Linked DNA regions of Drosophila melanogaster. The protein of the gene in region 2 purifies or fractionates together with the protein of the main gene of each other region. This does not show direct contact. Each region holds a gene or a part of one and is shown on either strand. Other genes may lie near its edges.

Region 1 (11,029 bases), on a different chromosome or scaffold from region 2:
TCCTTGGGCAGCAACGGATTCTCCGGGTACTTATCGTCCAGATACTCGGCAATAATCAGCGACTCGATGAGCGAGGGCTCACCCTTCTCCGCCACCAGCTGCAGGGCAGGCACCTTAAGCAACGGACTCACTTCCACCAGCCACTCTGGTTTCTCGGTGAGATTGATGTAGACACTGTGATAGGGCACATTCTTGGCGTTCAGGACGAGATGAGCCCGCTGAGCGTAGGGACAGAACCTCATGGAGTACAGGCGAAGGACTCCATCGTCAGGGAGTACAGGCTTGGGGGAACCTAAAGATAGAATTTATTTACCAGTTAAATTTAGGTTATACAAATAAATCAATAACTTCATGAGTCACTTGTGGAACCCTAAAATCCACCCCTGTATTATTATTTGTTTAGCAAGTCATTGCACTTAAGTTAATGTTGATAGGGCCCAGTCGTGATAAAGCTCAAATTTTGTAGCTACGTTATCTTTTAGAGTGTAAATATTATGGGTTATCTGATATCGGGGTGAAAGCTATAGCTAAAAATGTAAGTAAATTTTACAAATCAAATAATTAATTTAATGCATTACCTACAATTGTAAAAGAATAAAGATCGTATTGAAATTTACCAAATAATATACCTTTCTAACTTTTTAACCAAAAAATCCCAGTTATTCATGCCAATATTCTTTAACATTATGAAATATAAAAATCGTTATTCGATAATTACGCTGAATGTTGGAGAACTTGTTTTATAAATAATACTATAAACACTCTAATGACATGGGCGTTTCTCTTGGCGGCGGCGACAACTGGTTTTGCTTGCTCTCTTACCTTTGGCCAAATGTTTACCAGAACTCATTTTGTTTAATTGCAGAACTGAACAAATTCGCTTAACTGTTGAAATGTCGACGGTGAAATGCGAACTGAGTTTTCTCTTCGACGGCGCTCTGTTTATATAAAGTTTTTTGTTTGTGTTTTAACGCGAATAAGAATAATCGAGCTTTTTGCGACGTGACTCTTAGTTTTCGTTAGCTTTTAAAAACGATTTCTCATCGCAGACGTTTATTTCGATTTAAAACGCTTTACTACATTTGCGATTTGTTTTGTGGGAAGAGACAATCATTTCCTCCGCATTATACATAGTACATCTACTTAGTTTGTTAATAATCACGCCTGTTTGTAAATATAGATATATTTTGTTTTTACATGGTTTGGGGGGAGCTTTATTTTTGTTTTTAATTGAACCTCGGAACTACTACGTACATTTAGAGTTTTAAGTTTATGAACTTTTCGTAAAAAGTTTCGATCGGCGGACTTTCGAAATCAAACTTAATCTATGTACAAAAAAGTTCTCGAAATTTCCGTTCATGCCTTACAAAAAATACAAAAAAGTATTAATACATATACAACAGAGTTGCTGACATCATTGAGTCGCGATAAATAGTTGTTATCAGTAATTGCATTCGAAAAACCAAATTGGAAAGTAATAAATAATGACAACTACACTTGCTGCTGGAATTAATTGTTTATCAAAATGTAAAAAGATCCTTTCGCTGCTTTTGGTCCTACAAATGGGATTTCTTTTGATGCATCCTTTTGAAAACTCAAGTGGATGATTAATTTTTAGTTTTTAATTCATTTTAAAAATGTCCGCAAATGGTAAACATTAAAATTTAATGATTAAACTGTATCGTTTTTTTTCCCGAATCAATTGCGCGTTGTTGTTACGGTAAATACATGGGATAAATAGCTAAAACTAAGTAAATACGTACACTTAAAAAAATTCTACACACTGGAGTTAAATGTTGCTTTGCTTTCGTTTCTGAATTTCTTGCTTTGTCTTGTTTTGCATCGTTGCCTGACGATTTCCATTCTAAGTTTCGTTTATAGTTTCGTTAATTTTTTTTTGTTCGCAATTTGTATTTTGTTTGTTGCTCTATAAAATATGCAAACTGGTTGCATTTTGATCACGGTTCTTGCTGTTGCATATAAACATCCATCTCACTTTTGATTATTGGAACGACTTGAGATTTTTGAAAATGAATGAAGAATATGGCTGTTTTCAAATTTATCCATGGGCATCCGGTTTCGAATCCTTCAGCTTCATTCGCCAATGGTCCAATGGTTCTTTGAAGTTGATCCCTATGGCTGGCCTTAGCCATTCGGTGAGGTGGATGCTCCAGGAGATGTGGTTGTGGCCACTGCATCGCTGTTGCTCATCTTGTGCAGCATGAGGGAGTGCGTCGATCTGGTGGCGGTGGAGCTGGGATACTTTGGCTGCATTTGGCTGTTGGACACTGTGGAAGAGCTGCTGGTCGCCGGCGGTGGCGGTGGCTGCTGGCTGCAAGTGAACAGAGTTCATCAGTGTGCTTTTGCTAGCCCTTAGGACACACACCCCTTCTGCTCGCCATCCTTCTTGCTGTTGAACATGGCCAACTCGATCTCCGTGTGCTGGCTGTTCATGTGGCGCACCCACTCCGCCGGCGTATCAAAGGATCTGCACATGGGAAAGGGAGTTAGTATATATTTTGCTTCTATAACTCCAAACACTTACGTGGAACACAAATCGCAGAGCAGAGTTACGTGATCGTGATCCATATTGTTCTCCTGTTGCTGAAAAACACAATATATAATCTGGTTTTAATACATCCAATAGATATTGGTAACCGATCATCACTACGAGTTAAAATCATACTTCAGTAGATTTGGATTTATTAAAGGGATGAGTTGCTGTCCAAGTACTCACCGAAACGCGACGTCGTTTCTTTGGCACATAGGTTTTAACAGATCGCAGGGCGAGGTTGCTGGAGGCGGATGTGGTGCTCCCGCTGGCACTGGATGGCAGGAGATTCCTCTCCGTGCCGCCCGTGGGATCGCCGGCATGTGTGCCCAGGTGACGGACCAGCATTTTGGTGTCCTCGAAGGACTTCTGACAGATCTCGCAGACCAGCAGCTGCTTGAAGTTGTTATAGTCGCGCAGCGTGTGCTCCTCGCTCTCCTCGGAGGGTGTTCCGCGATCCCTATTCACCTCCAGCTTCACGGCGGACATCTTGAAGTCGAGTGGCTGCTTGGGCGAAGCCAATGGCAACTCCTCCAGATTGTTGTTGTTGGACGCACTGGAGGCGTTTGGTGGGTTGTTGCTCCAGTCGGTCGGCTCCTGTTTGATGGTGAGGAAGTTGTGCGGATGTCGAAGGGTCGGCGGATGTGATGGTGGTGCCTGCTGTGGTGGTGGCGGAGGTGTGGCTGCCAGGCGAGAGGATACCACGTGCTCAAAGTGTGGTGCTTCATAGTAGTCCCGAGCTGAGGGGAATAAAACATGGGATTAGTCATCATTAGCAGCTGTGCTGAGTACTCTTACTCACATCTTTCGCATGCGCTCTCCCTCCTCAGACGTCGCTCGAAGACCAGGCCCACCTCGTTCCGCTCACGAAGTGCCTGCTCCTCGTACTCTGTCCGCCGCAGCGTGGTCTCCGCTTGGTCAGCACCTGGTCCGGCGGTCAGGGGACAACTGCTGCAGCCCACCTCCGTGCAAATGGAAATGGGCTGCGATGGCGGGGCACCTGAACCTCCAACTGATCCTCCTCCTCCTCCTACTGTTGTCGTTGTGGTGGTTGGTGGTGGTGGGTGAGACTGCGACTCCAACTGACCGGGTGCCGCGAAACAGCATTTGTCCTCCGGATCGATGGCCACCTCCTTGTTGACGGAAATGCCCAACTTGCTGCTGCTCGCGACGGTTAGTAGTCCTGTGTGGGCGGCCAATTTGGGTGACTTAATGATCACAGGCGAGTCCTTGGGCATCACGGAGGCACCAAGTCCACGAAACTGCTGCTGGGGATTATGGTGATTCAGGTGGCTGTGGTGTGACGACAGGTGGTGGTGATCCAAAGCGAAACGTGTCGATCCACCCGGCTTGCTGGCATATAGATCTCCCTGAAGTTGCGCCGACATGGTTGATTGTGGCGGCGGCGGAGGGGGCGGCAAAGCGGTTCGAGTGCCATTCGACATGTACATGGTGCTAGCCTCTCGCGGATGCAGATGCCCGGCCAGTGAATGGGGATGATGTGTGGTCGTGACCACTGAGCCGGATCCACCGCCATTGGAAGAGCTGGTGCGGCAGAGGCCACGGATCTTGAGGATCTCACCGCCGCGCAGGACCTCGTTAAGTATGTCGTTGGAAACTGTGGCCTCGCCGCTGTACATGTACTGAACCAGGATCTGGATGGCGCGATGGCTAAGATCCGGCGGCAGGACCACATACAGCACTCCATTGGGATTGGTGATCGGTGCCGTTTCGAACATGGTGGCGAAGAACTGGGACGAAGCACTCAGGATGAACTTGTGGGCCGAGATGCCCACTGTGGGTATATCCGAGGGGATGCCGCTGCTGTTGTAGGAGCTGTACAGAACCACATCGGCGAACTTTTCGTTCCTAAAGGGGAAATATGATGCGTTAATATAGCATATCTACGTATTTTGTAGTACTCTTGGAGAATATTGAAGAAGGGTTCTTAGAAAATGTGTGTTTAATCCTCTGACCCTGATACATTTAATGTTTTTAACATTAAACAATTAAAAACGCTGCTAGATCACAATTACAAAAAACAAAAAACTTCAAATATGTACCAACTATGGTACAGTGGTACTTACTTATAAAGTGTGGCTATGGAAGAGTTAAGATAGGTGAGGTGTGAGTCCCACTTAAGGTGATAGTTTTCGGCGGCCATCTCTGCGGCCGGCAGCTCCTGTACAACGATAAAATCAATAAATAAATCAATAAATGCCGCCAGTGGGGTGTTTATTTTGAATCTCCCGATCCCACCACACCACCCAAGGAGTGGTGAATAGAGGGTTTAGCCACCATGCTCTTGTGACAGCATATTTCTCACACGAAGCAACGGTCATACTTATTCGCTAGCTTCCATTTGTTTACATATTTTCATTTGTGTTTATTTTGAAAATATCAAAATGTCGCAGTTCGACACGCGACTTATTGAGCTGGTTAGGGCTAATCCCAAGCTTTATGAGCGCGAACTTAGAAACGCACCCTACGAAGCGCATAAGAAGCGACATCCGGAAATCTGGAGCAGCATCGCCACTTCATTAAATTCAGAAGGTAAGAAACTGATAAATTGTATAAATATTCCCTAATTCCTCATTATATTTTAACTTAGCTAGTGCCTGTGTCAGTCGTTGGAATCATCTGGTGGCCAAACAGCGTCGGGAGCTGGCCAAAGAAAAGGCCGGAGGCACTGGCTCCGATTGGAGTCTTCTGCCGCATTTGAAATTCCTGCAGCATCACCACCATCCGATTAATCACCGAAATTCGGGTGATCTGAGTAGGAGCACACTGAAATCCAGCGACGAGGTCAACGATGATGAGGATCCGCTCCAGGAGGCCATGGATGAGCAGCTGGCCGTTGCGGGAGCTGCACCAGCACCACCCACAAATCCTGCCCATGCAACGCCAGTGGCTCAAGCAGAAAAGAGGATAGAAGCCCTGCTTGAAGGACTGGGCGAAGCAAACCGAATTAAGGCGGAGAAACGCATTCTGGCCTACCTATGCAAATGCAATCTGCGCGCCCTGAACGACGAGCAAATCGATGATATAGTTATTTAGGAAGATTGCCAAGATGATATAGTTATAAAGGAAGATTGCCATGATGATAAGTTAAATACATACATGCCGTGATAGGATATCAAAAGTAGCAAACATCACTGATCATATAATTGTTTAATAATTAAGTCATTTTTGTTATAGTTTATATATCTGGACAATTATCTTAAGCGAATACTAAATAACTTCTTTTTCCAAATGTATGCTTCCCTAAAAAATATTGTTAATCCATTCATTTAACCTAATCTTCGCATCTAATGAAGTTTACTATACAAACTAACTATTGCATTGTATGATATGATAAAACATTAACACGCCTGTGATTAAATAGTTTATTTTATTTGAGGCTTAAGATTAGCAATTTAAAATTCAAGACAACTGGTAAACCCCAAACAAAGCATCAATTGTCGCCAGAGGTCATTTATAGAGCCAGAGACTTGCGGGAGTGTATAGTAATGCAGTAGGAAGCTATCTGTGTGGCAAAAGCCAACTTTGAACAGGCGGGCGGGGAGCAGGTGGAGTAGGCGAGGGAAAATCGAATTGAGCCACGCCAAAAAACTCCTACTATGACGCAGCTGCTGCTGGGAACTGGTCAAAGAGTCAAAGAATGCGCGCGCAAGCAATAACATGTCCAATATCCATGTCTGGATCGGATCGGGGGAAGGCCTCCAGCACGGGGACAGGGCGACGACGACGCCAAAACAAGCATTTAGTTTATTAATTTGACGACTGCCGCAGGGGGAGCAGTGGGCCGAAACAAAAACATAACGAGCGAGGAGCGTCGTGCACCCTTAACGACTGATGCCACACTACCACTACCCCCTCGTACCGACTGAGTCCCCCTTACTTCACACGTACATGGTGAACCCTCCGACGCACTAAGCCACTATATGAACCAACTACTCCTACGGCCAGCCACCTACCCACTAGACCATTCCCATTCCCAATCCCCGGACTCAGCTCTTGGTATTAACACCGTATTATCGATTGATTTCCAGCACAAGCACACAACAAAAATCAATAGGCTGCCAGAGCCAAAATCAAATATTGTACAGTTCTGTGATTGTTTAGTTCAGTGTTGTCGTAAAAGTTATAAACAATTTGTAGACTCGAATGTATACTTACGCCTTAATAAATGGATTTTCAAAGTACGCGCCCAAAACGTTTAAATGCTACATTTAACTGGAAATTCACCTTGTCTCGCCTCTTGGTTTTTTTATTTGGTTTAAAATCTCTTTAAATCACTGGATGAATTGGATGGAGTCCGTGGATTTTTGGGGGACCGTGCTTGTTCGTTATTTGTTGTCAATTAATAATTTGTTATTGCTCTTCATTGAGAACGCTGGGGAAAACCGTGCGACTTGGACTTTTGAGCTGGGGAAACTGCGCAGCGCGTCGCTTGAGCTTTCGCGTTGGTGGCCACCGAACGAATAAAATCGCAGTCAAAGAAACAGGACCAAAAGGACTCTCCCAGGCGAGAGAGAGAGAGAGAGAGAGAGCGATTGAGATTGACGGGGTGCGAGCCACGGGATGCGACAGTGAGAGAGAGAGAGAGAGGGAGCAGCCCTCGTCCTCACGTGCGCATTGTTATTGTTGTGGTTGGTTCGAAGTTGGATACGAAGCGCGCGTAAAATTGATTTCCTGAGCATATTGATTTTCGGTATCTCACTTGGCCTACACCGCCTCCTCGGCCCCCTGAGTTTCCGCCTGCTCAGTTTCCTGCCCATCCTCGTCGGCCACCTCCTTTACCACCTCCATTTGTTCCTCCTGGGTTCCTACCGCCTTCTTTTCATTGTCCTCCTTAGCCATTGCCTGTTTCTCCAACTGCGTTTGCGATGCTGACGATGTGTCCTGCTTTAAGAGTTCTCGCAAAAACATGGTGGCATAGGCAGCCGTGGGCAGCGAGAACTCCAGCAGGAGTGCCATGTAATTGGCCTCAGCTTCAGCTGGTTCTGGTGCAACCGGAATGTTCTTCAATAGCTCCCAGTCGGAGGCGATAAGTGTATCCTCCGGCGTATTGTACATTCTAAAGCTCCACTTGAGATCACTGGACGATATGATCATCTTGCGGTAGGCGCCAGCCAATGCGTATGTCTTCTCCTTGTGCTTCAGTTGATCCGAGGAAAGACCCACTTCGGCGAGCATTTCCTCGTACCACGCGCCGCACTCGTTGCTGGGATAGGTGATGTCGTGTCCAGGCAGGGGAAGGACCACATCGCAAAGTTTGTACTTGCCGCTAGCGATGTCTTCTGCTGTGAGCGGGCGAACCTTTCGCTTGAAAATCGACTCCTCTTCGATGGCTTCATCCCCTTCGGGGACTTCCAGAGGTTCATCGTTAGGCTCCTCTTCTTTTTGCTCTTCCAAGGCCTCGCCCTGCTGCGCCTGCTCTTCCGAGGCTTCCGACTGATCCTGCTCCACATAAACCAAATCCCCGGGTATCAATTTCAAGCCGAACTCCTTAATTCGTCTAGACGCTATCCTGTTGAAGATCAGGCTTTGGTAAGCATGTGGATATAGCATGAGCATGTTGCGTGGTATCTGCCGCAGAGCTGATGAGTAATCTGATTCACCAAATCTGGCCAAGCCGTCCAGCAGCTTCTTTTCGATGAACTTTTCGCCGTAGATCTGTGCAGCTGCCGCCGCGGAGTCGCGATTTTTCCACCACTCCTCGCGTATGGGACGCAAAAACTCCACATCCGAGTCCCGGGGTTTCAGGATCAGTTCGCAGGCCAGTTTGTAATCGTGCTTGAGCAGAGCAACACCCACCTCATAGGTTGGGACACTGGCGCTGTTGCCGAACCGCTGCAAGCCATAGTAGTTGATGAAGCCGCGTTCCTTCAATGATTGCAGTGCCTGCTCGATTTCTTCTCGCTTCTCCTTGGCAATGTGTCGCAAGGCAATACGAAAACGATTGCCCTGCAAATCGCCTAGCTTCAGTGTATTGGATTCGAATCCAAAGTTGCCGATATGAACATTCCGTTGGGAGCGAGCTGCAACCAAAATGCTCTCTGGTGTACGACGCTTGACGGAGAACTTCTGGGTGGTTTTGGCCCGCTTGTCCTTGATGCCGCTGTAGTTCACCTGCGATGGTCGTAAGCTGTAGAAAAATAATGTTTTCTTAGTATATTAAAGCATTTAAAATTTGATCAAACTTACTTCAGTCGCGCTGCTAAAGTAGAGGCCACATCGCTGGTAACCAAATTGGTTTTGTGCACCAGGAAGGTCACGTAATCCGCCGGAAAGCTCCAGCGTTTGTCACCTATGGAATTCGATGCATAAAAAAAGGAATTCCCTGGGTAATCATTTCTACTAACCGCGTCCTGGCTTTGGTTTAAATACTTTTATAGTCTTCTTCTCCTCTGCCGGCACCTGTGAGTCTTTCTGGGTTGAGGTTTCACCTTCAGCCGCATCCTTATTTTCCAAAGATGCCTCCTCCTGGACCTTCGGCTTAGCCTGCTGCTGTCCAATGGTTGTGGACAGTAGCTTGCCCTTGTAAAGCTGTTTTATCATCTGGTGGACTTGTGTTCGCTGCTCCTTATCCAGAGTGGTCACATCAATCTCCACCTTTTGCTCGATCGCGGGATCGTTTTTGGCCTTAGCCAGATTGGCTATATCCTGCCAAACTTCCGGGCCGATTACTGCCTCCAGTTCTTTCCGCCAGTTGTCCAGTTCGTTTTCGGCCACAGCTGTTATAGTATGAGATGCATGAGCATAAGCAAGTATGCAGGATAATTGGTGAATACAGACCCACAATAGCCACTTTAGGCACACTGAGATCGTTCAGTTCCAGAACCTTTCCATTGCTATCAATCTCGTTCACGTGAAAATCAGAGAAGCGAGACTTAAGTATTCCCGTGAAGCCAGGTGCCTCCGGGTTAGTGAACTCCGTAATGCCCACTTGGGTCTCCAGCAGCGTGGATTTCTGTTGTGGAGCACTTTTGTCCAACGAAAAACGCCGGTTAACAACGATATTATTTATGGGATTTAATTTGTACCTGTTGCGCTGACCGCCACCATTGTTTTGGGGGCGATCCTTCTTCTGACCACGCCAGTTGCTCTTGTTGTATGGCCCGGAATGGTTATTCCTACGTCCTCTGCCCCGATCCTTGCCCATCTTGGTTCAAAATTCGCGTTTGAAAATTTGTCGGCAAATGAAATCCACGTTTTGCACAACATATGATGTGCCCATTCACAATAAGCTTTTTAGGTTTATTAGGGTGGCCGCATGTGCCATTTATTCGGGAAATAGATTTCTTAAATGGTTGTTAGCATAAGTTCATCCGCAAATATTCCTCTTTTTTTATATTGTATGATAAATATAATTTAAAAACATGCTTAATATTAACATATCATAAAACTTTTGTTAGTATATTTTCCTCATTTATACTTCAGTATTTTTTGGTATTTTTCTGGTCCCAGATCAAGTTCACACTGCGTACGTAATGTAAAGAAAATGTGCAATACAAAGAAGCATTGGAAAGAAGTGTAAAAATTGAGAAATAACCAAAAATTGGAACGGATTAATTCATTAGGTTAAGCCAAGGAAGCAACGAAATGTTGCCGCATATAAGTGCCGACGAGGCACAGCCGTCTATGTCGCGAAAGGTGTACATCAATCCGAATTTTCAGCTGCAAGGTCAAACGGCGCATCAGCTGCCGTTCCAAGTGCCCTTCCAGGCGTTCCAGGCGCCACTGCAGCCTCAGCCCGCGATCCATATCAATCCGCACTTTCTGAATCGCCAGCGGGCCATGTACGACCAATACCAGCGGGAGCAGCAGGAGCAGCTTATGATGCAACAAGTTTCCGCCTCGCACTATCGACTGGATCCAACGATACACCTACTGGCGACTCCACCTCCTCCGCCCGCCAAGATCATCAGCAAAGTGAGCACGTGTCTCGTGCGCAAGCCATCAGTGGTGGCAAGTGGTCCGGCGGTGAAGCTCGCTGCTTCAGTACCTGTGCCCACTGTTTCCAGCCTGGTGCAGCCTCCATTGGTAAGCATTTCCAAGCGGAAAATTGTGAGGCAAGGAGCATTGAAAGCAGCGCCAGCGGTTGCTGCCCTCCATCCTCCTCCACCTGCTAAACGCACTAGGTACAAATTAGTGCGTTCCATATCACTTACCTGCACACCGCTGGTCAAAAAGCGTCGTCCTCTACGCGAGTTTGTGGGCCAGTACGCCCTGAGACGCACCAATGAAGCGCAGCCCAACAGAAAACTGAGGTAATGAAAATCGGATACGAGCAGTTGAAAATAGTCAAGCAACAGGCGACTCTGTTAGACAAGGTAATGTACATCAACTAACTTAACTTTTATTACAGCTCCAAGCCGCAGGCGCTGAAGCTGGGCGTTAACAAATCCCTGAGCATGGTCAGCATACACGGTGTGATGTACAAGAAGATATCGAAGAACAAAATAACCAAGC
Region 2 (11,304 bases):
TCAAGGTCGTTCACACGCGCTCTAGTGGCCCTCTCCAGGCACAGACGTATAACTCTCGCTCTTCGGAACGCGGATCCCGAGCAACATGTGGTTCTGGTCTAACGGTAAACAATGGCTAGACTGTTCTTGAACTTATCAGAAGAATATGTAGGTATTTATTTGCGAGTTTCACAGCTATATATTTGCGGTGTTATCTCAATCGATCGGTTTGTTGAACTCGACCGTTGCACTTTTTTGGACAATTTCATGCACTCGAATCGCTGGAAACTGGTTTCAAATGCAAATGGAACAGTTCGGTGGTAGCCACTTACTTTGGATCTTAGTGTCATAGGGCTTAAACGGTCGTTTGCAACTTATATTGTTTGCTCTTGCTGATAATTATACGAATCGTAAATTAAATTCACACACGTTCGATTTCCAGGCACGCAATACTACGCAAGACAACAACAACACGAGCCAAGACGGCGCAAAACAACAACAACAGTGATTCCGAGCCTCGAGACGTCCGACCTCCAGTAATTTCAGTTTATAACTGAACCGAAAACAAAAGGAAAACTTTGTCGCACGAACAAATCCGAAAGCGAGAGCTTTGCGAAAAGCTCTACGTAGAAAACCGTTAAACGGACTCCGAGTCGGACTAGATTGAAATCCGCATCGTTTGGCGGTAAATCGATTTTTAAGTTAGAGCGGCGTTAATTCAAATATAAAAATATATACTACTCCTAGAGGGATACCACTGTGGTTGCTTTTTGCAAAGCTTACACGATCTATAAAGATGCCAGATGGTATAATTTTCCAGATAGTTTATTTTTTTTATTATTATTCATTTAAACAAGGATATCACACCCAGAAAAAGGCATTCTTTGGCTCACAAAGATTTGGTTTATTTGCAAGAGTGAGGCTATGGACTTATATTTCACAGGTATATTGTAACACTTTCGTCTGAATTCAATCACAAATCCATTCTGATCCACACTTAGGAACAACAATCACTTTACTTACTACGAAAAGACCAAATAAGTCTTCGCAACAACTAACTAAACTTAAACTAAAAGCAGCTGCGCATGCTCAGCACGATTGCAACTGCCCGCTGACTATAGAGACATATGGAAATGTCGTGAGGTGATATATGTATCTTAGAAGCCTAAAAGGAATCCAACCAAAGGAAAATCACACGTCCGACGCATCCTCTTTAGTCTCAATTCGCTTCCGCCTGGCGAGCAGGAAATGCGAGACGTTCTCGTACACCAGAAAGGTGACCATGCAGGCAGGCACTACTCGGGTTAAACTCGCCTTCAGCCCCTTGTAGAAGCCTCTGTAGCCCTCAAACCTGCAAAGAGAACCAAACACAATGCGGTTAGAGACTGAGAACTGAAAGCTACATCTACTTACAGTAAGGGCGCATTGGCTGTTTCAGATTAGCAAAGAGATTCTGCACAATTAAGGGGGTGATCGAAGACTTAGGGAGCGGAAGGAGCAAGGACTACTTACTCAAGCTGCCATGAGCCCTTGGACAAATGAAAAGACGCAGGCTGGACGCGCTGACAGTGTTTGCTTTAGTTTGTTTCTTGGTTTTCATTTAGGTCTGCCATCGTGGCCTTTTAATATGGGTAAGTAATTTCGCATTTCTTATCTTTTCTTTGATTTCAATAAGATTGTTCCACTGTAGGACTAAGTTGGTTTCACAATGCGTTTATGCTTATTTACATAAATGTCAAGGTTTATCCTTAAAATTATAAACCATTTTCAAAAACTATGAAGAATCTTTTTGCCAAAACGAAATTTTGTATCAACTAAACAGTAACTGGTTTTTCTTTGTGCTTACACAATTCCAAGCCGTTATAGAATAAATAATTTAACTAAACTAAGAACTAAATATGTGTTTGTTTTGATGAAGAGTGCAAGAAATGCGTTTTTGAAATTACATTTCATGGGCAGGGGCTATTTTGACGACGCCCCGATCACATCAGTTACTTTCGAAGTTGGGAGTGAAGGATGTACAATAAACTAGATATGGAATACACTTAAGGCTAAAGTAAGGTGCTAGGGCTAAACCGAAATCGAGTTACAACAATAATACAGAATAAGTTTGTCATTTTCTGCTGTTAGCTGCACATCGGAGGAAACGAGAAAGATTCGTGTATTCTAGGTGCTTAGCTTAAATTCTCTGTCAGATTCCAGATTCGATGATCTAGTACTAATACTCCATCTAGCTGGTCAGCTTCTCCCAGATCAGCATGACCATGCAGATGTTGGGCGTGACGTGGACCAGGTAGGGCACCAGGCCCTTATAGAAACCTCGCATGCGCTCGTACCTCCAAGTCTGTTTGATGCAGTCCCAGGTGCCGTTGTATCGGTGATGGTGGTCCTGCAGCCGTGCCCGGACCACCTGGTACGGGTAGGTGGCCGCCGCTGCGATCAGCTTGGAGACAGCCGCGAAGGCCAAGTACTCGGTGGTGGCCTGTGGGTGAGGGAGCACACATTAGTGAGGCGAACAGAATGAGCTGAATGGCTGCCAAATGGCGGAGACGTCATCACAACCAGATATATTCGGATACAGATACAGATGTGGTCACACAAAATATAACAAAGCGAACAAATATTTTTCTGATTAAGAAAGTCTTCTAACGAAAAAAGTAATTGAAAAAAAAGTACTCGATAGATTTTCAATTTTTGAACGTTACGCATTAAACTTAAAGACTTCAAAGTATTTTGTTATTTGTATAAGTAATAATTTTGTGCTATTAAGTTAACCGCATCTGTTCACCCAATTTAGTATATAGGCGATGTCAACGCCACGCGCAGCTTGGTCATGTGATGGGTTGGTCATTTGTGATCTGCCTACTCACCAGCTTCGTGTCGATGGGCAGTTTGCGATATTCGTTGTAGGCGTTCTTCAGCTCCTCGTAGGTCATGAACTGGATGGCTCCGTGGGAGACGCCCAACATGCCGGGAACAAAGCCGCGGTACAGGCCACGGATTCCCTCCTCCTTGTATATCTGGCCCAAGGCGTGGATCATGCCCCTGTACTCGGCACTACTCGCGGCATCGCACTGCAGGCAGAGACGCGTCTTCACCACCCAGATGGGGTTGGTCAGCAGCAGGGTGAGAATTCCCGACTCAGCAGCTGCAAGCATGTTCATTGTGGGGCCCAATGGCATGGTCGTGTTTCCTCCTTGGATAAATGTCTTAATGGTGTTGTAGCTGAAGGGAGTATTTACATTTAGGTTTGTTACCATTATCAGTAGAGCAAAGTACTTACAACATGAAGTACAGGCCCCAAGAGGAGCCCGATCCCCAGACATTGGGGGTGACGCCTTTGTAGAGTCCGCGGAAGCCCTCTTGCCGGAAAATCGTGGTGAAGGCGCTGCTCAGTCCCCGGTATTGCGGCACCGTAGCTGTCCGGCCATCGTTAACTGCAAGTGGAGAAGGAATCACGCTCGTAAATGATAAACATGTCTAGACATTGCAGCCTTGGGTCTGGCACGATTATGATTATGGATACTGTCACTGAAGGGCCGGCGAATGCGTCATATTGTGTGTATTGCTCTTCACCTAGGCAACTGTACGTCTACGGGAATATCAGTTGTTGACTCCGAAACCAACAAGTCCAGGCCCGTGGCCAAAGTTGTTTTCGCCAAAAGCAGATAGATAGCATTAATTGCCAGCGGATGCGATAAGCTGGGAGCGTCGAAATCAGCCACTCTACTTGTTTTCGCGCCCATTAGCAGATACTTAGCTATTTATATGGGACGACATATTCTATATGAGCTGGGCAATCATAAGATCTGGCCTGACAACAGTACCAGGCAGAAGAAAGGGGCTCGTCTTCGCTTCTAGACTATTTATAGCATCCTCATGGGTGACCTTGAAAGGAGACTGGACAGCCCAAGAGGCAAGTTCTTTTGGGGTATTTACGACTAAGCAACCACATTGGTTTTGGCCAGCGTAAAGAGTTTTTCGACATGCACTCGATAAAGTCGCAGCGATAAGGTCGCAGAGTGCTGAATCAGTCGACTTCCCGCATGGCAACAGTTGGAACTCGTTTTTAGCCACTGGAACTGGCGCTTGTGCCACATAAACCGGACAGTTGCCGCTGAAAGTTGCCGTTAACAAAGCCATTGCAATGTACAGTCGAGTCAAGTGGTCACGTGATTAAAAACGAGCAAGAGCAGAAAATCAAAAGCAAGATAAACGGGTTTCGTTTGGCCAAAATGCGTCATCGCCATAAAGGCCTTGCGCAAGTCAATAGAAAACAGCTGTTGCCAAATCGAGAAGCCACCGGATTCAAGGAGGTTCATTGCGGCGAAACCACTAGCTCTGGATTTTCTAACCATCCCAACTTGGGTTCGCTTTATCAGTTCACAAAACTCGCATGGTGTGACTTTAATTCGCATAAACAACTCGTGTGCTGGTTGTTATTGTTTACAAGCCACTTTTCTGGTGAATTTACATATTCACTTACTGCGTTAACGATTTTTAGCACTGATCCGGGCAAACTGGACGGCAACAATATTTAATAATCAAGAAACCCGCTCTCGGTTCGTTGTTGTTGTTTTGGTATCCCGAAGCAGACTATACGGAAATGTTGTTCATGTATTTTGCGCATGAAACGCAAACGAGGCCAAACATATGATTCAGATTGACTACAAAGAAGTAGTTTTCAGCAAATAGTCATAAACACAATGGCCTGCGTAAGCTGATGGCTCATATTATAGCCATTAATATCAAAGGTTGATAGCTTGTATCGATCTTTGGCCAGGCGGCATAAAAGTAAAAGCAAGTAAACAATTCGAACTGCTGTTGCCCCACGTTTCCTGTCTGCAAAATCCAGATTAGACCAATTTGAGATTCCACACACAATTGTCAACACAACCATAAATTTCATCTTTCTATCGCATTGAGGAAAAACTATGTTTTCACGTGCCCGTGGCCCCATTCATCAGCATTGTTTATGTGCGAAAGCATGCACGTCACTACTTGACTACACGGGCTTCTCAAATTTTCCATGGTGCACAAAAAAAAAAATCAAGTGCGAATTCTCGGATACCCGAGTAGCGTCTCAAACTTTCCATGGAAAATTTGTAAAGCATTGCGCAAACAAAACGCGAGCGGCGAGTAAAGTGCAACAATAATCTGCAGCCAGACTGGCGGCATTTCCCCGCACGTGCCGAGTGCTCTTTACTACACAGCAATATACGTAGTGCTAGTTCCTATGGTGACATATACGTTTTTCTCTATCAGTTGACAATTTTCTTTTAATAGGTATAGTTTTTGTATTCTATTTTAAGCCCAGATTAATCAGAAAGGTGCCTATATTACAGAGCCATATTGCGAAACACAATACTTAAATTAGAGCACTGGCATTTTGGATTATTCAACAAATATATTTCCCTATAAGATGTTATATTAGTGTACTACTGCTTGCTCACGGAAATCGTGGAATTCCCCGAGGCGTGTGGATGACTCACCTGCGAATCGAATCTTGATCAAATCCAGGGGATGTAGAATGAGTGTGGACACCACTCCGCCGGATACTCCGGCAACCAAATGCTCGTACTTGACGTGTGCGAATACGTTGAATTTCTTGGGACTGCCCGTTGACTGTGCCTTGATCGGATTCATATTGTGCAATCTCTGGTGATTTCTTTTGCGCTCGTTCTGTATTATTGTTGCTATCGCAGGCTTATTGGCTGCCCCGGTTGAAACTCACTTTTGCTACAGTGAATTGTACTAAAACTACGTGCTATTTACACTCTTTGGCTTTTCGGCTGCTTTCGACACAGATGGGCGCAAATCAAAGGAAATCGCTCGTCGAAATTATCTTGTTGCTAGGCGCACAGTTGTTGTTGTTGCTGCTGCTGCCGCTGCTCCGGTTGTTTTTGTTGCTGCCGCTGCTACAGTTGAAACATTTGTGCCTTTGCTTTGTTGTTGCCCAGCTCATATTTTCACTCGTTTGTTGTCGTTTATGAAGACTTTGTTGGCCAAATTGCTGCCCTTTTTGTGTATCTGCTGTTCAGAATTGCTGATGCAATATTAACTCCGAAATTGTTTCAAAATTATTTTCGTTTGGCCATTCGTTTCTTATGTAATGCCGAACTGAAAGGGCAGCCTAAATAATTGCCTTCGTTTTTTGTGGTCTGCTCAGCTGACAAGCGACTGATTAGCGCACTGCAATTAATAATCAAGCACGTGTGGCAGCAATGAACATTAAGTAACAACTTTTCTACGCGCGAGCAGGCGGATAAATGCGAACAGCAAGCTCTCCAACGAAAAACGACTAATCGACTTTGAGCACAGTGTTACCATATGTGCGCCAGGGCCGATAACAATAAAAATACCATCCAGCCGCAGAATAAATACCAATGTACATCATATCGAATTTCAAAATGTCATATTCACACCACTTGATAAAAATAGGTATTTCCGCTTCATATTACTCAAGTATGTCATTAAACATGTTATTAAATAATTATTAAATATTTAATTAAATTATTATGTAATCTCATCTCTCTTTAAGCTTATATTAGATAATTCCGGTTTTATAGAAAAAAATCTATTTTTAAGACATATAATGTTCTATCTTCTTCCCAAAAATCTAGCATAAAATTACCTAATCGTCAAACATTACTTTTTTTTGTTGTTTAGTTACATTTATTTTGGTAGGAAGACATAATAATTTTGAACTTGGCTATCAGAGTACACCATATTCATATAGCCGTGCCACTCTCTTATAGAAATCCTTAGCAAAAGTCAATTAAATTTAAGGAGTATTATAAAAAATTACAAACTACTTGCAAACAAAAAAATGTTGATTGAGTATTGTACAAAGACTAAAGGAAAAACACCAATAATTAGGATACTAATTATACAACCGAAACAAATCAAATCCTTAAATATTAAGACTTAAACTCATTTTAAGGTCGATAAATAAGGAGTAGGAAAAGTTAAGTAGATAGAAACCCAATTAATTTTCGAATAACTTTCCTACGAAGGCAGTCAATACGACTAATTCCCATGCAAAGGTATTCAGCACCAATATAATATGGAATATGGAATATTCAATGAGTGGTCATGCAATCGAATGACCCGCTAATTACTGAATAAACCATGCTTGCCCACAAACGAGCATCGACAACTGTAATTTACCTTCGATATTCCAATTAAATTGTGTAAACAATTTGGCATAAGCCAGAGGTCCTTAATTACAGGTCGCGGAAAGGGCCAGGATAGAGGTATGTATGTATGCGCAATAATGGCTAGATGGATGGGGTAGAAGGGGTAAAATGACACAATTACCAACTGCAGTAGGCATCCGCCGGATCCGAAGTATCGCCGCAAATTGAGTGGGGGCGTGTCCAATGTTGGGCAAACATCGGACAGCTCCAGCTATATGACTATATGCTCCGTGTAGCTCCGTGTTCTGCGGTCACGGGAACACATGTTCGCCTTCACATTGCGTCGAATGGCATGAAATTTTAATTTCATTAGTCGAACGATATAATTTAGAGACCGCAGACAGCGAGCAATTCGAGGTACTTAGTTGCAGATACTTTTGTATCTCATTATACGTATGGCTAGAGCTTTAATTGTGTTCGTTTTGTGCAGTGTGCGCATTTCTGTGCATTTCAGGAATATGCCAAAAATTCGCAACGATTTGTCAGTAAATAATTTCGAATTGTTCTCCGTCTGCAGGCAATCAAAAAAATCTAAAAAACGCGCTCGCTCAAACGAAAGAGAGTATCTGTAGAGATGTATCTTTCGCCCTCTGCACATGGCACTGGGATTGGGGACTGCGCATTAAGGATTGGGGTACCACGGACTGGGGTTGGCGAATCCGGGGATGAGGAATGATGATGGTGTCAACAGTGCTCTGATTTATTTGAGCGCATTCAACGCTTCGTTGCAATTCGTTAATTTGCCCGTTTTCCGCCGTCAGAAGAAGGGAAGCTGCCCAGAAATATTTACCCACACTCGGCGGACAGTGTCTATAAGGATCCATCCCCGCCCATCCCTGCTGATTCTTGACAAGCTGCCAAAGTGCCGAACAAAACCCAACAGCTTTCATCATAATCAGAAAACCAAAATTATCAACGAGCCGCATAATTGTATTGTAATTTATGCCGCTGTGGAATCGGTTAAATGTTCGCAATGTTCGGTGCTCGTAAAAGATTTCAAACACCCAAACGTGACCAATGCCAATTTGCGCTCCAATCAATGGACGCCTCGTCACTTATGGCCAAAAATTTGGTCAATTACGATCAATTAAGCCATACACATGCAAATTATTGCCACCTGCTGCGCGAAGAACGATCGGCATATCAATTGTGGGTGCTTCGGGGGAATCGAGGAATCAGGGAACGGATGTGGATTTGTCCACAGCGGATGTAGGAAACAGTAGTCCCATCCATCTGCTTCTTGGGGACGGTGGGGGTCACGACTGCAATGGATTGTTGTCTGTATTTTGTGGATACTATAAACGTACTTTTGTATAACCTATGTATGTATATATACCCTATGTAATAACACTTGTTGGAGGTATTTATGCCTGTTTACCTTTAAAACGAGTTATATAAAATATTTAATTTGGCATATCAGGCCTACAAAAAATCATTGTTAATATTAATCCTTGCAATAAATTAGGGGTCATTAAATTATCAGCGATTGCTACCATCCAAGAAATACGAGTATTCCTTTGAATAATTCTGCCTGTTACGGATGTCACTTTCAATTAAACTCTCTTAAAATCTATATTAGTGCGCTTAAGAACCAACTAAATACCTCAAACACCACCAATTAAAATTAATAGTTGTACAGAGCTGTTTACTGGTATGTTTAGATAATTAAAACCAGATATCCGTAGACTAATAGATATGCACCTAAGTTGCAGATACAAATCGTTGAGCACACTGGAGTGTCTGCTAATGATGCCCAGCAGTCACACCCACTGGCAACTGACATTTGAATTTAAATTGGTCACTAATATGCCTCGCGAGAACACCATCCTCCATCCTCCGTCCTCCGCCGGCGGGAGTACTCCCCAATGGCCAAGGAGCTGGCGAAGATGGGGCATTAATGGCAGGGCGTTCTCTTCGCCAGTCCGGCGATGTCTGATTACCGAGCGATTCGAGCAGAACGCAATTACGGAGCGGGAACGCGGGCGGTGGTGGAGGTGGTAGTGGTGCTGCTCCATTGCCGGAAACTGGTTCGCTGTCCGCACCACCCGGCAATTAGCAGCTGGCCAATGGGAGCGCGCGCCAGACAGAGACACCAGCTGTTTGTCATGCGCCATATTGAAATGGAGGAGGAGCCAGACCATCCGTGGTGGTGGTTGCTCGGCGCCTCTGGGCTTCTGGGCTTCGACTTGGGTGCCGTACGCGTACGTGATGTCTGCTGCACTTGGACAGTCGCTCGCAGATCTCTGAACGGTTCACTGCGTCGTGTCTGCTCGGGAACAGAAACGCGTTGAGAAATTAGAAGAAAGAAGTTAGTTTCGATCGCCCTGAAAGTGTGCTTTTGAGTGGGCAATATGGAACGACCGGCCTTGCTGCAAAACGGAGAGATCGGCACCATGGAATCGCCCACTACCAGGCTGGCCAGCAAGCCCTTTCCCAAGCCCTTCTCGATCGAGAGTCTGATCGCCAACCAAACGCCTGCCACTGCCACACCACCATCGCCGCCCGAGGAGCGGGACCAGGAGCAGGAGGCAGAGCAGGAGCAGGAGCTGAGTGCCCGCGCCATGGTAGCCAGTTCGGCCCTGGGACTCACCCAGTTTCCGCTTTATAATCCCTGGCTGCACGGCTACTTCGCTCAGAATCACGAGAGATTAACGCATTTAATTGCCGGCGGCTGCTACCTGCCCTCCAGTCCAGCTGGTCATCCTGCTGCACAGCAACCACAGGCACAGGCACAGCCACAACCACCACCACCACATCCACCAACACATGCCTTGGAGAAACAGCTTCCACCCACCTTGCCGCATCCGCTGGATACGCGTTTCCTGCCCTTCAATCCCGCCGCCGCCGGAGTTGCGCCCACGGATCTCAGCTACCGGCGATTGGCCGAGCTTATGAACCAGGACTACGTGCACAGTCTGAGTGTCCACGCTCGACTGCAGCACATGGCCGCCGCCGGCAGGATGCACGAGGATCAAGCGAATCCCGGCATGGCGCAGCTCCAGGAGCCGACGCCCCCACAGGCCCACTCCTCGCCAGCCAAGTCCGGCAGCCACAGTCCCATGGAACCGGCCCTGGATGTGGGCATGGACGAGGACTTCGAGTGCAGCGGCGACTCCTGCAGTGACATTAGCCTGACCATGTCGCCCAGGAACTACAACGGCGAGATGGACAAGAGCCGCAATGGAGGTGGGTACCATGCAATCAATCTTTCAGGGATGTGGTTATACTAATGAGATGTTTGGGGAATTCGATATAGTTCTTGGTTGATCTTTATCTTAGAACTTGTCGGCAATTGTTTTAAGATTTACGGATACATTTTGCAGCCATTTTAGCCATGGTTACAACTATTAAGTCCTTTATACTATAAAGTTTATAGTTTGCAGAAGACACAATAGTAATAGTTAGCATTTTTGCATAAATATAAAGCTATTGTTTAATGCATATCGTTAAATTTTGCTCAACTTATTAAGATATCACTAAATAGCTCATCACTTTGAAAAGAGTGTATGTTTTTCAAATACTTGCTAAACTTTTATTCGTTTGCTTTGGTGATTAGTAATTACACCGACTAAAATTTGTTGGGCATCGAATTTCTTACGTTAGTTTTAATTATCACTTTACGTTAGTTTTAATTATCAATTAATAATTACCAATTAAGGGTTAAGGAAATAAATTGCGGTACAAATTGGCCAATTGGTTAGACGTTCGACAATCCTTAGGATTTATCTAAATAATATGATATTAAAATATTTATATACACTTTTTATGATGGCTAACATTCGTTGTTGCGTTTAAAAAGTATGTTTTAATATTATTTAGAGCGATATGCAAATGTAGTCCTGTTGTGTTCCTCATTCTTCTTAAATGCGTTCAGCGAAATGAGAAACTCTTTAAAATCAAAAGCAAATACAAATATTTCTTGAGCTTAGTACTCATAATTTACCCCTTCGAATCGTGTCCAGTTTTGCGGTGGCTCATTTTGTCGAGCGGCGTTGTCACGGTAATTTAAATTGAGCCTGCCACGTCATAATCAAATTAGCATAGAGTGCATTAAGACCCAGTGTTCGGTGTCAATCACGGAGTGAAAAGTTTTCACAACTCCGACTTCGGGATCCAGAAACGCCAC

What was found. The genes of interacting proteins can lie anywhere in the genome.
Region 1: the proteins of CG8026 (region 2) and CG6683 purify together in Drosophila melanogaster (affinity purification with mass spectrometry, with the first as the bait; one large-scale study listed by BioGRID). This does not show direct contact.

Annotation. Positions count from the first base shown.
Region 1 is NT_037436.4:8,508,775-8,519,803, reverse strand, and holds CG6683 (uncharacterized protein), read left to right. Parts: upstream 1-4,882; 5' UTR 4,883-4,956; coding exon 4,957-5,104; intron 5,105-5,162; coding exon 5,163-5,608; 3' UTR 5,609-5,930; downstream 5,931-11,029. Other genes in the region: GstO3 (glutathione S transferase O3), read right to left, coding at 1-292, 823-850; CG6765 (uncharacterized protein), read right to left, coding at 2,146-2,332, 2,387-2,488, 2,546-2,604, 2,738-3,291, 3,354-4,420, 4,639-4,715; Pus7 (pseudouridine synthase 7), read right to left, coding at 7,280-8,702, 8,762-8,864, 8,920-9,291, 9,353-9,540, 9,601-9,719; ZC3H3, read left to right, coding at 10,160-10,827, 10,926-11,029.
Region 2 is NT_033778.4:9,185,805-9,197,108, forward strand, and holds CG8026 (uncharacterized protein), read right to left. Parts: upstream 6,293-11,304; 5' UTR 5,945-6,292; coding exon of another isoform or gene 5,798-5,944; 5' UTR 5,626-5,797; coding exon 5,472-5,625; intron 4,543-5,471; exon of another isoform or gene 4,466-4,542; intron 3,417-4,465; coding exon 3,263-3,416; intron 3,205-3,262; coding exon 2,850-3,204; intron 2,462-2,849; coding exon 2,316-2,461; coding exon of another isoform or gene 2,210-2,315; exon of another isoform or gene 1,331-2,209; coding exon 1,171-1,330; 3' UTR 866-1,170; downstream 1-865. Other genes in the region: CG45085 (uncharacterized protein), read right to left, coding at 5,798-5,944; unpg (unplugged), read left to right, coding at 9,530-10,364.